Ovis aries: one gene and its partner. The protein of the gene in region 1 interacts with the protein of each later gene in a pairwise test. Links are inferred from orthologs where the notes say so. Each region holds a gene or a part of one and is shown on either strand. Other genes may lie near its edges.

What was found. The genes of interacting proteins can lie anywhere in the genome.
Region 2: the proteins of CDH1 (region 1) and CBLL1 interact in a two-hybrid assay, tested with the Homo sapiens proteins (2 studies listed by BioGRID, with this or other methods). The link is inferred for Ovis aries from reciprocal best matches to the Homo sapiens genes CDH1 and CBLL1.

What each region holds. Positions count from the first base shown.
Region 1 is NC_056067.1:35,612,558-35,616,830, forward strand, and holds the start of CDH1 (cadherin-1), read left to right. Parts: upstream 1-1,473; 5' UTR 1,474-1,578; coding exon 1,579-1,626; intron 1,627-2,539; exon of another isoform or gene 2,540-2,555; coding exon 2,556-2,670; intron 2,671-4,273.
Region 2 is NC_056057.1:50,277,666-50,281,165, forward strand, and holds part of CBLL1 (E3 ubiquitin-protein ligase Hakai), read left to right. Parts: intron 1-1,800; coding exon 1,801-1,968; intron 1,969-3,500. UniProt on the Homo sapiens protein: E3 ubiquitin-protein ligase that mediates ubiquitination of several tyrosine-phosphorylated Src substrates, including CDH1, CTTN and DOK1. Targets CDH1 for endocytosis and degradation.

The DNA of each region.
Region 1 (4,273 bases):
CCAGCTCTCCTTGTGTTCTTTTTTTCCTTAGGCGGTCTGTCTGTGCCTCAATGTCTGTATAGGACTCTGTCTTATCTGTGGTGTCATTTTTGTTTTGTTTCTGTTTTTTAAATTAAGTGTGGTTAAACCCTTGTGATGAATATATTAAATAAATACATTTTGGGGTTTTTATAGCAAAAGAAAAATAATTGACATATAACATTGTACACATTTATCAGAAACAAAATGTTGATTTGACACATATATTGCAAAATGATTACTACCATAATAGCTAACACTTAGCTAACACATACCTAACTCATTGCTAACACCCCCATCATATCACATAATTACCATTTCTTTTTAAACACACTGTAGTTCTGATCATGCTTCAAGGGTAAAAGGAAAGATAATGTCCCTTACATGAGACATTGAAGCGAGTTATTTGCAAATGACAGGTTTGGCTGATCTCTGATGGATCTCTTCCTGTCAACATTAAAGGACAGATTGAAACCTCCAGCTCCAGCTGGAAGATTATGTGGGGCCACATGAGCTGAAGCCAATAGAACAGGCGGTGGAGGTGGGTTCCAGTCTTCTATATATCAAAGTGGCTCAGTTGTGTCCCAGTCTTTGCAACTCCATGGACGGTAGCCCACCAGGCTCCTCTGTCCATGGAGTTCTGTTGGCAAGAATACTGGAGTGCGTTGCCATTCACTTCTCCAGATCTTCCTCATCAGGGGATTGAACCCAGGGTAAAAGGAAAGATAAAGTCCCTTGCATGGGACATTGAAGCTAGTTATTCTTGCAGATTCTTTACTATCTGAGCTACTACTTCCTACTGGCCTCAAATTCTTTATGCCTGGATTGTCCCTCTATTAAATGGGAATAATAGCACAACTCTTGTGTTGTTTTGAGATGAAGTAAGATGGTTAATGTCAAATGCTTAGCACAGAGCCTGTGACACAGTAACTTTTAATGCCCAGTATCAATCGTTACTTATTGTCCCTCACATCTGCATAGAGCTTTTGTGGTGCACGAAACATTGGTCTTAATTAATTGTATGACAACTTCACAACAACACAGGAAGGGATTTGTGATTATTTTACCATTTAGTAGGTGAAGAAACTGATACTTTGAAAGGGAAGATTCTGCCCAGTGAACTGATCTGTCGATTCAAGAAGCGATGGAGATCTGAAGTAGGTAAAGGGTGAAATCTCTCTGGCGCCAGATGTTGGTGAGCCACCGCGAGGCTGGTATTCAAGTCTAATGGTAACGGGAATCGTGGAGCCCCTACCATTGCGTTACTCTGACTACTCTCAGATCACCCGGTCTGCTCGCGGCTCCGGGGCGGAGCGTCCGCCCCAGTCAGCGGAGGAAGCGGAGGCCTTGCCGCGCCGCTCATTGGTTGAGGCCGGCAGGTGCATCCTCAGCCAATCCTGGTGCCGGGGGCGGGGCCGTCGAGGCTCACCTGGCTCCCGCGGCGCCCCGCAGCTCAGTGGCGTCCGGAGCCTCTTAGCACCTGTGAGTTCGTAGAAGTTCTGCCAGACTCTAGCCCGGCCCAACTCAGCTAGATCCTACTCAGCCCGCGCCCGGCCTGCCATGGGCCCTCGGTGCCGCAACCTCTCTGCGCTCCTGCTGCTGCTGCAGGTACGTTGGGTCCCCTGACTGCGCGGGATGCCTTCCGGCCCCATAAGCCGCGCCCCAGCCCCCAAACTCCTCTCTTCCCTCCTGTCGTCCCCTGCTCCCTCTTATTCTAAAAAAGTTTGGGTCCAAAGGGCCTGAATGGCCCGGAAACTGCGCCGCGCTCTGGACTCCATGGGGAAGGGAGTGGGAGAGGGAGCCAGTGAGGGTGAAGGGCGAGTACGGCTTTGCGGACGGCCTCCCGCAAAAGCCAGAGGTGGGGGCGCGCCTCGCTGCAGCCTCCGGGTACTCGGGTGGGCGACGGGCGGGGAGTAGAGGGCGTGGAGTAGGGATGGGGAGCCCCGGTGTAAGTCCGGGCGGAGCCGGGAGTAGTGGGAACGAGGAAAGGAAAGCGGAACCAACAGATAAAGTCACCTGCCCTGTAAAGTGTAGTGAATAGGTATGCCCCCCACCCTCCCCGGGATAAGAAAGGATGTGAAGAGGCTGGAGCGCCGGCGGTCTGAGGAACCGGACTTAGGAGTGCGAGCGGTCCCGGTATAGGGAGAGTGGAATTGGGAAGAGTAAAGATGCCTCCGATGAAATTGAAAAGGAGACTTTCAGGAAAGCGCTGCTGAGGCCGGAGGGGAGCCAGCAGCCTTCCCTCCTGAGAAGTCCTGAAGGCTTGGCGGCCACAGGTTTCCGAATGAAAGAGTTTGACGTGGCTGGCTGGCTGCCCTGTGGGGAGGAATGGGGGGAAATGGGGGTGGGGGAAATGCGGGAGAATGGAGGGGGTGGGGAGGTTGGGGGGGTGTGGGGAGTGGGCGGGGCGGGCCCACCCCTCCCACAGTCCTGGTGCCAGCAGAGGGAAGGGAGGCGCTGCTGGTTTCGGTGTGAATAAGAGGAGACCCCCCCCCCCCACCAAGTCACCCCGGTTTCATACCTTTCCCCTACCCCAGGTCTCATCGTGGCTCTGCCAGGAGCCGGAGCCCTGCGTGCCTGGCTTTGGCGCTGAGAGTTACACGTTCACCGTGCCCCGGCGGAACTTGGAGAGAGGGCGAGTCCTGGGCAGAGGTGAGGGCGCGCCGCCAGTGTCCCTGGGGTGGGAGTGGGCAGGGTCGGAGAAACGGCGCTCCTACGCCCGCGAGCTGGCCTGGGCGAGCACCGTCTTTCCTGGCTCTGGTGACACACCTTTGTAGATTACACAGATGCGAGGATCTAAACTTTTGCCAGGATAGACGTTGGGTTTGAGGGGCTGTCTTGTATGGTTGACTTAGTTATGGGGGGCACTTATTAGGGGCCTTCAGTGTGTTTCATATTATCCTGACCACTTTAAGTCTGTCTTTTCCAACGTCTAAAACCTGATGTGTGGGAAGAGGGTGGTGGGGGAGGTGGCAATTCCCGTTTTTTTACAGATGAGCAAATGGGAGGCTCAGGAGGGTGGAGTCCACTGGCCCCAGGGTCAAAGTAGGAATCTGATCTAGGTTCTGACTTCCAGGCCCCATTCAGCATCTCTGGGATGACTGAGGAGTCCTCTCTTGGTTACCAGGCTGTGGCTTTTGCTCATAGAGATGAAAAAAGATTTTTTTATACAGGTACTGTTTCCCCAAGGAATAGTGGCACGTGCGGTTTTTTGGTGTTTTTTTTTTTTTTTAAGCCTGGTAGCCCTGACTCAGGAATGAAAAGCAGACACAGTGTACTTCAGGGTCTTATCACTGTGATAATCAGGACTCTAGATTTTGGTTTGTTTCACTTTGCCCGGGAGTGAGAGCAAGGAAAGGTTGGTTTCTCTTCTGGTTTCACTGATCTCCAGGTGCTTATTTTCTACCAAAGGGCTTTCTCCTCCCTCTTGATTTAGTTGATTGGACGAGTATCATAACAATAAAAGAAACATTTTTTGAAAGGAAGACTCACCCACAATACCCCTAAGGGAGTTCACTGTTTATTCTTCCAGTGTTTGGTCACGTGAAAAATGCAGCAATCATGCTATAAGATTTTTTTGGAACTTTGGAAATTGTTCCAACAGTAGGCAATTTTTTTTTTTTTTAATAGACAAACTGCAGTTTGATTGATTAAACATATTTGTTTTTCTGAGGCCCGTCTGTGTTGTGTGGAGCTTTCTATTGGGTCAAAAAGGAAAAAATGAAGTGTTGTCTGCTTGATTTTGCAGTGAGTCCCCCATTTCTTGGCCCATGTCAGATTGATGTTCTGCTGGGCCCTGCTGGACCCCAGGAGTGATTGAGGACTTAAAGGAATACCCCACCCTTGCCCTTGGTATTTCCCATTCCAGCAGGTTGATGAGAAATGTCCCAAAATGTCCCAGGACCTGCTTAGAGGACACTGTGGTCTATGGGCACGTAGGTGGCAGTGTGGTGGCCGGGGATGGGTATCAGTGGGGAGCAGAGACTGGCTTCTGGGAGGAGGCAAAGTTGACTGAACCTTGAATTCAGGGCAGAGTTTAGAAACTGTGTGTACATCTGTGTGTGGGGTATTGCAACACAAGTATTGGTCACTTTGTTTTCTTTCACCAAGACATCTGGTAACACCAGAGGTGAGCTAGTCTAGTTTTTATCCCCTACCCCCACCACCAAGTTCTTATATCTGACATGATATTATTATTGTTACATGATAATATTATTACATGATAATAATACAAATATTATTATTATTATTAATA
Region 2 (3,500 bases), on another chromosome or scaffold:
GATGTCACTATTAACAGCTTGCACTTGGAGTCTGAGGCAGACTGCAAGATGTTAGAGGGCAGCAGGCTCTTGAAAGTCATAATTGTGACTTCGGATGTCTAGGGTAGCGTGAAAAGGACTTGTAGTAATGAAGTGTTGTTCACCAAGGAAAAACCGTTCAGAGTCCTTTTACTGTCGGAAAGATGACATTGAACTGTCTCTGATAACTTGCTATTTTTTAAATTCATTGAAAAATCAGGAATACCTTCCAAGCAAAAAAAAAAAAAAAAAACCTCATTCTGCCATACCTTTTTGCTGTTACATTGTTTGCAGGTACTTTAAACAGCTAGAGCCGAAGCAGATGAAATGCATTATTATCTTTTTGCTACTTCATTGCCTGTAGATGTTTAGCAACTAAATGCAACTGGAGTGAAAGCAGATGAAAGCATTATCTGATTGTTGATACATTTGTGAAGTGTTGAGAGTTAAATCAAGATGGATTTATCCTAGTTTAAGACTTTTAACTGTCCATGTATTCCCATTCCCATGATTTTTTTTTTGCAGATTAGCTGTTATGAAAATAATGATAGAAAGCAGACTGAAAGATATTTAAATTAATAATTAAGGACTGATTTTGAATTTTGTTCCGTGTATTATTGAGAAAGAGTGCAAATCTATGTGTTATTCTAGTATCCTTAGAGATCATTACTGCTGGGTAGGATACTACTTCCAAATTTGGCTTTAGAGAATTTAATGTGGATAGTTTGGTTATGTCTCTGTGCTGTCTTCCTGCAGTGGCAGTTACATAGCGTTGCTCACTAATTGTCATGTTTAAAATGTTACTATTTTAAATTATTTGCGTTTCCTACTTTAGGACATTTGCCTTTCTGCTTTTAGCAGATAAAGGTAAATATTTTCTGGATTGTAATATGTCATGGACTTGGAAAAGAGGTGGCTTTTAATCTTAAAATAGAGTCAGTTCTATGAAATAATGCTCATATTACTCATAGGATATGAGTAAATTTATTTCGTAAGCTAATAACAGAGACATAGAAAGTGTCAGTTGTTTAGGCCTAGTTGAAGTATAGAAATCTTGCATCCTCCTCACCTATAATTTACCATTACAGTGCTGACTAAGAATAACGCAGTCACCTGTACATATAGAAATGTTATAGTACATTAGTGTCTGCGTTTACTGCTAAATTGTGTGGTAATTTTTACTATATTCCTGAATGCTTTTTAGAAAAACTATTTTACACCGAAGAGGATAATCACATCCCTAAAGCTAACTTCGTTTTCAGCGTATTATTTATGTAATTCTACCACTGTCAGTGTTAGTTTGTGTTTCCAGTAGTGATTGTCCTGATGTAGATGCAGATTACTAAATTCATTGAGTGCCTACTTTGCATGCTTGATGGAAATGATGGTTTTCTTTCTTTTTGCTGTTCTTTCTTTATCTTTTATTCCTTCTTTAAAAAAAAATCTTACAGTTGCTAGACAGAGCTTCTTACTTTAGGCTCATGAAGGACTTTATGTTTCTATAAACCCCTCTGGAATTCCATGGAAAATTTTATTGTCCATCCTCTTAGGGGGGGGTTCTGTAACTTTTGTCAACTTTTTAAAGGGCTCCATGTCTTAAAAAACATTGCTTTAAGAGTTTATCCAAAATAGAGAAAATTAGTACTTGAACTTACATAGCATAGTATTTACAATCAGATACTCAGCCCTTCATGATGTTGGGTATATTGCTTTAATACCTGTGGCAGAATAACCTTCAAAAAGAAAACCTAAAAGAAATTACAACTTTTTTTCCTAACATAGACAATGAGTTACAAGGCACTAATAGTTCTGGATCGTTGGGTGGTCTTGATGTTCGAAGACGAATTCCTATAAAGCTCATCTCCAAACAAGGGAACAAAGCCAAAGCTTCACCTCGAACTCCAAGGACTATAAACAGGATGCCTGCAAAGGCTCCAGCTGGTGATGAAGGTAATGTGTTTAACAGGTCCAAAAGTCTTTCTTTAATATCTGATTCCACCAAATAAGCCATGTGAGTTTATTTACTTTTAGCCACTTCTTTTTTTATCTTAAATATTCTCTTCTTCAGTCTTCGACTTCTCATTTTGGCATATTTTACTTGCTATCCCTTTATAAATATTTTTGATTTATTTTCTTTTGTTGTTGAAAGTAACACTGTCTATTGTTTAGAAAAATCTAAACAGTATCACAGAAAACATGATACTAAAGTAAAATTGTCCTCCCATTTTTATTCTCCCCTCAAATAATCCCTGGTATGACATCTTCATAGTTGCTTTATAACTGCCCCCCCCTTTTTTTGTACGATGCATGTGAGATTCCGCTTTCTCAGTAGATTCAGATATATCTTATTTAAGAAGATGGGTTTAGGTATTTCACTTATGGATATACCATAATTTATTTAACAATTTTTTAAAACATTTTACTGTTAAAGACAATTTTGCAATAAGTGTCCTTATTTATTTAGTATGTATGTTTTGTAGAATACACACCTTAGTATGTGTATTTTAAAACTTAAATTTTGCATGAATTTGGGCATTTTAGAACTTGATGGATTTAGAATCTATGCATTTTAGCATTTAATAGATGTTGTCAAATGGTTCTTAAAAAATAGTACATCACTTTATACTCCCACACCAATATTGGTACTATTATCCTTTGCAGATTTTTGTACTGATACGCATTTCTTTAATTTATGAGTGGTGCTGTATGTTTTCATAGTATTGGTCATTTCTTTTTTCTAGGCTCTATCTGTTCATATCCTTTTCCATTTTTTTCCTGTTTGATTGTTTTTCTCTTGGTTTTTATGAGTTCTTTATAGATTAACAAAATTGGCTTTTGTTATATGTTGTGTATATTCTCTATTTGTCTTTTGAATTTTATGTATAAAATTTTTATTGTAGAGAAGCTTGACAATTCTTTGTAGTCAGACATTCAGTCTTTTCTGCTGAACTTCTGGGTTTTTTGTCATCCTTAGGCCTTTCACCATTTCTTGAGTATAAAACAGTTTTTATGGCCTATGGGCCAAATCCAGTGCTATGCTTTATCAATAAAGTTGTACTGGAACACATGCATGCCCATTCTTTTACGTATTGTCTGGCTGTTTTCGGGCTTCCCAGGTGGGTCAGTGGTAAAGAATCCAGCTGCCAATGCAGGAGTCTCGGGTTTGATCCCTAGGTTGGGAAGATGCCCTGGAGTAGGATATGGCAACCTGTTCCAGTGTGCTTGCTTGGAAAATCCCATGGACAGAGGAGCCTGGTGGGCTGTATATAGTCCCTGGGGTCACAAGGAGTTGGACATGACTGAGCTTAGGGCGCACCACGAATAGCTGCTTTCACACTATATTGGCATAGTTGAGTAATTGCAGGTATGGCGGTATTTACTTAATTGGTCTTTAGGCAGATAAAGTTTGCTGATCGTGGCTTTGGAACTTTTATGGATGTATATTTGGTTGTTAAAACAAAAATGGGGTGTGACTTGAAGTG